Yarrowia lipolytica: one gene and its partners. The protein of the gene in region 1 purifies or fractionates together with the protein of each later gene. This does not show direct contact. Links are inferred from orthologs where the notes say so. Each region holds a gene or a part of one and is shown in the gene's direction. Other genes may lie near its edges.

The links.
Region 2: the proteins of YALI1_E23691g (region 1) and YALI1_E38593g purify together in Saccharomyces cerevisiae (affinity purification with mass spectrometry; 8 studies listed by BioGRID). This does not show direct contact. The link is inferred for Yarrowia lipolytica from reciprocal best matches to the Saccharomyces cerevisiae genes COP1 and RET2.
Region 3: the proteins of YALI1_E23691g (region 1) and YALI1_F17709g purify together in Saccharomyces cerevisiae (affinity purification with mass spectrometry, with the first as the bait; 5 studies listed by BioGRID). This does not show direct contact. The link is inferred for Yarrowia lipolytica from reciprocal best matches to the Saccharomyces cerevisiae genes COP1 and RET3.

What each region holds. Positions count from the first base shown.
Region 1 is NC_090774.1:2,367,641-2,371,402, forward strand, and holds the start of YALI1_E23691g (uncharacterized protein), read left to right. Parts: upstream 1-1,479; coding exon 1,480-3,762. UniProt on the Saccharomyces cerevisiae protein: The coatomer is a cytosolic protein complex that binds to dilysine motifs and reversibly associates with Golgi non-clathrin-coated vesicles, which further mediate biosynthetic protein transport from the ER, via the Golgi up to the trans Golgi network.
Region 2 is NC_090774.1:3,857,563-3,860,557, reverse strand, and holds YALI1_E38593g (uncharacterized protein), read left to right. Parts: upstream 1-1,213; coding exon 1,214-2,368; downstream 2,369-2,995. Other genes in the region: YALI1_E38561g (uncharacterized protein), read right to left, coding at 2,770-2,995. UniProt on the Saccharomyces cerevisiae protein: The coatomer is a cytosolic protein complex that binds to dilysine motifs and reversibly associates with Golgi non-clathrin-coated vesicles, which further mediate biosynthetic protein transport from the ER, via the Golgi up to the trans Golgi network.
Region 3 is NC_090775.1:1,770,115-1,772,162, forward strand, and holds YALI1_F17709g (uncharacterized protein), read left to right. Parts: upstream 1-850; coding exon 851-1,420; downstream 1,421-2,048. Other genes in the region: YALI1_F17706g (uncharacterized protein), read right to left, coding at 1-536. UniProt on the Saccharomyces cerevisiae protein: The coatomer is a cytosolic protein complex that binds to dilysine motifs and reversibly associates with Golgi non-clathrin-coated vesicles, which further mediate biosynthetic protein transport from the ER, via the Golgi up to the trans Golgi network.

The sequences.
Region 1 (3,762 bases):
TCCACAAACCTGATCAACATATTCAGATAGACGATGAACGTGAAAGGACGTGAAGGAACGTGAAAGGACGTGAAGGAACGTGAAAGGATGTGAAGTAAGATGATAGTCGAAGAGAACGTAAACCAATTGAGGACTTTTCATGTCATTGAGACGGTCGCAAAGTGACGATACGCAGTTGGACTAGGTATGATCTGCTAGAGTCCACACATCCACATTGAGTAAAGAGTACACTATAGAGTACACCGTTAGTGGACATCATTGTATCATTGAACTCCCCACGCCGGGCTGATTCGAATGGCGTAACTACTGGAGATATCGAGAAAAAGTGGGTTTTTCAGTGTTGCTTAGATCGAAGCTTTGAAAATCCACTTTGAAAAAATTACTGTTATCATGTTTACTACGAGTACAGAATGTAGGTCGTTTCATACGAAATTCCCGACATGCGAGTATTGTCACGTTTTTTTTTTTATATATATATTTTTATAATGACATAATACATTTTTATAACATACTAATATTTTTAATATCATTTTTACAACATGATATATTTTATTTAAAGACATTTTTACAACATCATACATATTACAACATACATTCCTACAGGGCTACAGTACATAATGTATGAATACAATGTTATAACATAACATTTTTCGTATTATTTTCTGCAGTATGCGTTTTTCTGTAGTGATACAACTTAAATAATTTATTGTCTCCAGTTGAGAGTTTACTTGGGAGTAGACGACGGGGATGTGAACAAAAGACTGTTCTAATTCCACCAAAACACGAGATATTCGGACCAAAATTTGACCGTATCATGTTTGGGCTACAATTGTCCGAATCAGCTTGTTATATTTGCTCCAATGCCTCCCACTTCCCATCCACAACACCGTTAGTGTCCTCCCCATCTTCCCCAAATTCTCCGTCAAAATAAACTTTGTGCCACGTTCTCCCAACACGTCACTTCGAGAACGCACTACCTCGATCTTTCTTCAACTGAGAACACATCTCACAATCCGTCAAGATGGAGATGCTAACTAAGGTGAGTAATCGAGGCGGGTTTTTGAGCGGTCAGGTGATCATTGGGCGAGAAATCGAGGCGGGTTTTTGAGCGGTGAGGTGACCATTGGGCGAGAAATCTAGACCGCCGGCGATGACACTATTAGGGCGACAGACAGAAGCGACACAGAAGCGACACAGAAGCGACACAGAAGCGACGCAGAAGCGACAGACAGCGTGGAATGAAGTGCGGGGGTGAAATGTGATCAACCGTTGCTCATGACGAGACGCATTATGGGACAAACGTGGTAGCGACATGGTAGCGACATGGTAGCAATGACAACAATATGATGACCTGTTGGCACACTGGCTTGGTTTGCCCATGTTCACGTTACTCCTTGTCGTTCACCAATCTGCTGCTTCACAACAGAGGTTGTTGCTTTAAGACAACTACTCGGTCTTGTTCACATTTGATGTGTCCAGATGTGTGTGACCACGGCCTGTTTACGTTGTGACGCGTTGTGTCATCCCGGTAGTCAGCTCATGCCATATCCTGATTCCACTCGTATACTAACCCAGTTTGAATCAAAATCTTCCCGAGCCAAAGGCCTAGCCTTTCACTCGACCCGCCCCTGGGTCCTGGTCTCGCTCCACTCGTCCACCATCCAACTCTGGGACTACCGAATGGGAACCCTGGTGGACCGGTTCGAGGACCACGATGGCCCCGTTCGAGGTGTCGACTTCCACAAGACCCAGCCGCTGTTTGTGTCCTGTGGCGACGACTACAAGATCAAGGTCTGGTCGCTACAGACCCGAAAGTGTCTCTTCACTCTCGTCGGCCACCTCGACTACGTGCGAACCGTCTTCTTCCACCACGAGCTGCCCTGGATCATCTCGTGTTCCGATGACCAGACCATTCGAATCTGGAACTGGCAAAACCGACAGGAGATTGCCTGTCTCACCGGCCACTCGCACTACATTATGAGTGCTCAGTTCCACCCCTCCGAGGACCTGGTTGTGTCTGCCTGTCTGGATCAGACCGTGCGAGTGTGGGACATTTCCGGCCTGCGAAAGAAGCACTCTGCCGGCGGCGGCGTGTCTGCTGGCGGCGCAGGCTCATCCATGTCGTTCGAAGAGCAGATGATGATGGCTGCTCGAAACAGCGGTGGTCCCGGCGGCCCCGGCGGACATCCCCAGCAGGGTGGCCAGGACATGTTTGGCAACCAGGACTGTATTGTCAAGTACGTTCTTGAGGGCCACGATGGTGGTGTCAACTGGGCGACTTTCCATCCCACTCTGCCTCTCATTGTGTCTGGTGGTGACGACCGGGTCCTCAAGATTTGGCGAATGAGCGACACCAAGGCCTGGGAGGTCGATACCTGCCGAGGCCACACCAACAACATTCTGTCGTGTTGTTTCCACCCCTACCAGGACGTGATTGTGTCTGTGTCCGAGGACAAGACGATCCGAACCTGGGACCTGCACAAGCGAACTCTCATCAAGCAGTTCAAGCGGGAGAACGACAAATTCTGGGCCCTCACTGCTCACCCCAACATCAACCTGTTTGCTGCTGGCCACGAGAGCGGTATCATGGTGTTCAAGATGGAGCGAGAGCGACCCGCCTCCACCATTGACGGCAACTCGCTGCTCTACATGTCTAAGGAGAAGCAACTCAAGCTGTTTGACTTCAACTCAGAGCAGGACAGTATGCCCCTGGTGTCTCTCAAGAAGTACGGCTCGCAGTATTCACCCATTCGGTCCATCAGCTACAACCCTGCTGCCCGGGCTGTGCTGCTGCTCACCAAGGACAAGGACCAGTTTAACTACAACCTGGTCCATCTGCCCAAGGACGCTGCCAGCGGTGGCATTGAGGCCACCGAGGAAATTGGCGGCAACGCTGCTCAGGCCGTCTTTGTGGCCCGAAACCGATTTGCCGTCTTCAACAAGAATGCCCAGACCATTGACATACGGGACTTGAGCAACACCACCACCCGAACCATCAAGCTGCCCAAACAGGTCAAGGATATTGTGGTTGTCCCCGGCTCGTCGGGCCAACTTCTCCTGCTGGGTCCTTCCCACGTCTACCTGCTGGACGTTGCCCAGAAGACCATTGTGGCCGAACTTGCTGTGTCCGGCGTCAAGTATGTCAACTGGAGCAAGGACGGCAAGCACGTGGCATTGCTGACCAAACACACCGTGACCATTGCTTCTGCCACCACGCTCAAGTTCATTTCGTCTCTTCACGAGACCATTCGAATCAAGTCCGCGTGCTGGGACGACAACGGAGTGCTGCTTTACACCACTCTCAACCATCTCAAGTACACTCTGCTCAACGGCGACTCCGGCATCATCAAGACTCTGGAGAACACTCTGTACATTGTGCGGGTTAAGGACCGACGAGTCTACTGTCTGAACCGAGCTGGCGAGGTGGAGGTGGTCCGAATCGACCCCACCGAGTACCGGTTCAAGCGGGCGCTGGTCAACAAGAACTTCTCTGAGGTGCTGCGAATCATCAAGTCGTCCAACCTCGTGGGCCAATCCATCATTTCGTACCTGCAGAAGAAGGGCTACCCAGAGATTGCGCTGCAGTTTGTGCAGGACCCTAAGGTCAAGTTTGATCTCGCCATCGAGTGCGGCAACCTGACCGAGGCCCTGGAGCAGGCCCAGATTCTGGACGAGCCCTCGTACTGGACGCTGCTCGGAAAGGAGGCTCTGTCGCAGGGCAACTTCCGAATCGTCGAGCTCGTGTACCAGAAGCAGCAGCTG
Region 2 (2,995 bases), about 1.5 Mb from region 1:
GGATGATAAAAAACAACAGGTGAGGTGAAGCGAGTGGGGTTTTATAGAGGGGTTTCAGTCGCTTTTAAGCCCTATAACACTTCTAGTGGTGTGGCGGTTACTGGGCACCGTATTTGGTTGTCCCTACTATACTGAGTATGTATGTAAGTATTTGTTTTACTTGTCGCTAATCTGAAAGAAATTAAGGACTCGCTCCCTTTAATGAAACAAGCCCATGTGATGAGGGTGCCCCTAAATGGAGAGAGCTGATAGCCGACATATGAAAGGAATCACACTATAAGAAAGCGTGACTCCCGCGCCACAGAACAAAGTGCTGTACCAGTAGCTGTGTAACATGGAGAGGACAGTACGTACGGTGTGATTAACTCGTTCCAGACCACTCTCCACGACACTTCAGTGTCTAGAGTTAACGGAGAGTTACGACAATCTCAACTTGACGCGTTTACTGGATGACGACTTGGAAATATGGAGTATCAACACTCCAAGAACGCTCAGAATAGATTGTCAAATCCGTTTGTTCGACAAATACGCGTACTGGTGTCATACCTGTGTCCTTCAAATACACTCCTTCTTGTTACGGCAACATTTGCCTGTCACCCTCCCATACTCCCATCGGTACTCCCAGCCGCACAAGTTGAGCTTAAACACGTGACTCCTAACCTCTGTGGGCGAACCCAGTGTTTCTGTCAATATTCCAACCTCGAACTCTAACAAGGACAACACATCAGCACACCAGCACACATCACGATCAAAGGAGGAAAATGGTAAGCAATTGGACGGATCCGAATCGCTCGCGCATATACTAACACAGGTCGTTTTAGCCGCATCCATATGCTCACGTGGCGGCAAAGCCATCATCTCGCGTCAATTCCGAGATCTGCCCAAAGAGAAGGTCGCCGGACTGCTGGCCATCTTCCCCAAGCTCATCCAGGGCTCCAAACAACACACAACCGTGGAGCACGACAATGTTCGATACGTTTACCAGCCACTGGAGGAGCTGTACGTGGTTTTGATCACCAACCGTCAGTCCAACATTCTGCAGGACATTGAGACTCTGAGACTGCTAGTCCAGGTGGTCACTTCGTTGGTACGTGTCGTGGATGAGCGGGAGATTCTGCTGGCCGCATTCGACCTGCTCGGCGCCTTTGACGAGGTGGTGTCCCAGGGCTACCGGGAAAACCTGTCTCTGCAGCAGATCCAGACGTTTTTGGAAATGGAGTCCCACGAGGAGAAGATTCAGGAAATCATTGAGCGAAACAAGGAGCTGGAGGCCACCGAAGATCGAAAGCGAAAGGCCAAGCAGCTGGAGATGCAGCGAAAGGAGGCTGCCAAGCGAGGTCTGCCCGGAAACGCTGGAGGTCATGGATCTTTCCAGGCCCCCGCCTTCCAGGCCCCCGCTCCTTCGTTTGTGCAACCCGCTGCTGCTCCCGCACCTATCCCCGAGACAACCCACAAGCCCCGTGCTCCTCGAGGAAAGGGCATGCAGCTCGGCAAGAAGAAGGGCGGATTCGATGACAGCCCCTCTGCTTCTCTGCTGGCTAACGCTGACATCGCCGTGCCCACCCCCAAGTCAAAGCCGCAGCAGCAGACTGCCCCCGCAGCAGCAGCTCCCTCTGCCTACAATCCCGAGGTCCAGGGCGTTCATCTCACTGTCGCCGAGGTTGTCACCGCGACTCTCGGTCGAGACGGCTCTGTTAAGAGCGCTGAGGTCAAGGGAGACGTACAGCTGAGAATCGGCAACCCCGACCACACAAAGATCCGAATCGCGCTCGAGGCTAACGCCCCCGGCGTCAAGTACCGAACCCATCCCAACGTGGACAAGGCGCTGTTCTCCTCGCGCCAGATCATCGGTCTCAAGGACCCCTCTCGAGGCTTCCCCTCTAACGGCGCTGCTCTCGGCGTCCTGAGATACTCTGCTAACGCACCGGAAGAGGCTGTTCCTCTGACCTTCAACTGCTGGTTTGCGAAGTCGGACCCCGGCTTCTACGACGTGACCCTGGAGTACGAGGTCTCTGAGGGTTTCACCGGCAAGATGACCAACGTGTCTGTCATTGTGCCTCTGGTCTCCTCCAACGCTCACATCTCCGACTCCTCCATCACCTGGGACCAGTTCGACGACCATCTCGAGTGGATCATTCCTGAGATCACTGCTGATGGTGACACCTCTACCGGTGCCTTTGAGTTCACCGCTGAGGCCGACCAGGAGGACGAGTTCTTCCCCATGGAGGTTTCCTTCACTCTCAACGACCCTGAGACCACAGTGGGCAACGTCAAGATTCTCAACGTCTTCTCTGCCACTGCCGAGGACGAAAACATCCCCTACCAAGAGGTGACCCGAGTGACGTCGGACAACTACCAGATTGTTTAAGGAGGAACAACTACTAGGTAGCATGTATAAGTAGGTTGTATGGAGCTGTTATTGGAACAACGAGTACAAGTAGGTTGAGTGTAAATTGGCCGTATTACTGGAGCAATATGTGACAAAGTAGATTTGGTATCATGTGTTTCCTGTGTCTGTGTCACTGTTGGGTATTGTACTCGTACCTGCTGTAGTATTGTACATACTGTAGGTTGGGCAAGTAGGGAAGAAGCTGTCAGGCTATATTAAGACACACTTGTAGCTAAACTGGTGAAGATGTCTTGCTGTGTTTGTTGGAATAGATTACTTGGTATAACCACTATTAGTAGATATTATGAAGCTGTTTGAAGCGTTGAGAGAGACGAGAGAGAAAAAAGTTCCTTTATGTCAATGGTAATCCTGTTATGTCACTACAACTGCAAACTCAGCCCGGGAGTGGCGATTATGAAGTCGCAGCCAATGCTCTCAATCTTGGCCAGGCCGATTATATCCTCCAAAACCACTTTCCGAGGATCGTTTTCGGGATCCTCATTGTAAATATCCTCCTTTACGTGCGTGATAACAACAGGAAGACCCTTCAAGTGCAGATCTGGAGGCGGTTGGTGTGGATGATGTGCGTGTGTCTGAGGGATGCGT
Region 3 (2,048 bases), on another chromosome or scaffold:
TCGAATGACGGTCCTAGCACGGTATCTTTGAAACGCGCTGGACCCACCATCTTGGTCTGTTTGTTGATGAGTCCCTGCAGCCACTCCACCTCTTCCTGGGGGGCGGCGTCCTCTTGTTTTTTCGCCGTGATGCCGTACGTGGACGGCGCCATTGCTGCTGCTGGCTGTGTAGCTTGGCCAGTGTTGTTTGCTACTCTGCTGATTCTCCGGGCCTCTGCTGGTCCAGGTCCCTTGGCCCACTTGACAAAGTCCTGCATGCCCTGGTCGCCCTGAGGATCGGTATCGTAGGGGTCGAGTAGCACCACTGGTTTGATGACATGTGTGTTTGCCATGGCTTGTGCCACGTCTGTGATGATGGCGTCAAATCGGCCTCCGTGATGCGCCAGATTCATCGTCTCCGTCGCCAGCAGATCGAGATGCCGAATGTACAGGTCTGTGATTGTGTCCAGCACCGAAGGCGGGCATCGTTCGATACCGGCCACTCGAAGCAGTTGCGCCACTGATATGCGGGCCAGAGCAAAGTAAAAGTCTGACATGGAGGAAGTGTGGGAGAGAGGAATGGATGTGTGTTGCAATCGTGTGCGTTGCTTTTGTGTGTGTGGTGTAGGATAGCTGCGTTTGTGTCCGCGTATGTGTCTGTGGCTGCGTTTGTGTCTGTATTTATGCGGATTGTGCGTGTGCCGCGTTTGTCGTCACTAGGTTGGTGTGTCTGTCTGTCTCCATCCCTTGTCACTAAGGTTTTAAACTGGAGATGGAGGTTGGGCATTTTAAACTTCGCTACGTGTAACATAACACCTAACTGCTCTCTAGAACGGCAGATCACGACACATTCACACAACCACACAGAATCATGACGTCGGAATACTCGGTAGAGGCAGTGCTGCTGCTGGACAAGGACGGAAAGCGACTCTTCACCAAGTACTACTCGCCCCCACACGGCGACGTGCAATCACACGAGCAGCTTCAGACCCTGACGACACTCAAGGACCAGCAGACGTTCGAAAAGGGCCTGGCGCAGAAAACCCATCGACAGAATGGTGACGTCATCATCTTCGACAACAAGGTGGTCGTGTACAAGACGGTTGTGGACGTGACTCTGTACGTGGTCGGATCGTTTGAGGAGAACGAGGTGATGCTGTACCAGCTGGTTGCCGGCATCAAGGACGCGCTGGAGATTCTGCTCAAGCACTCGTTCGACAAGCGGTCTGTGCTCGAACACTTTGACCTGGTGGCTCTGGCTATCGATGAGGCCGTCGACTCGGGCGTCATTCTCGAGATCGATCCCGTCGTCATCGCAAGTAGAGTCACCCCCGCACCCGCCAAGGAAAGCATTGCGTACGGAGGAGTGGAGATCAACGAACAAACCATCTCGAACGTGTACCAGAAGTGGTCGCAGCGAGCTGGCAAGTTTTTCAGCTAGATGGAGGATGTATATGGAGGTAATAAGATGGATTTTGTGCAACATGTAGCGCGACTGTGACCCAGCTGCTCGGTGAGGGCCATCTGCTTGCGTTGCAAGTACTGTACTATAGATAAATATTGTGTTTTTGTGTGTTTTGCAATCGTAATTGGTTCAATTGAATAGTCGTATTGAAGTGTTAGTCGATCCTCCAAGTGCTGTTACGCTTGATCAAATTGTAACTAAGACAGGCGACAGCTGTGAGCTGCGTACTTGTACTTGGACAATAGACCAAGTTTGCGGGTGTAAACATGATTGTACAGGCTCAATTGAACAGTATCGACCGCTTATTCATCACAATGACATTCAGCGGTGAACGTCTACAAGTACCGGCATATTGTGCTAACTAAATTCTTGAACCAAGAACCATTGAAGTTACAGGCGTTGTACTTGTACTCATACTTGCAAATAATCAATGCGATTTTGTGTCGGCTGTTCGCTGAAGGGTCGTCTCATTGAGTCAATGAGTTGCTGGTCATAATCTGTCGTTGAACAGAAAGTAAGTCCTGTGACAAACTGTCATCTATTGGACTTGTTGTAGCTAGAAATCATCTAAAATCTCGTTGTTTGTACCATTGAGGGCTACAAG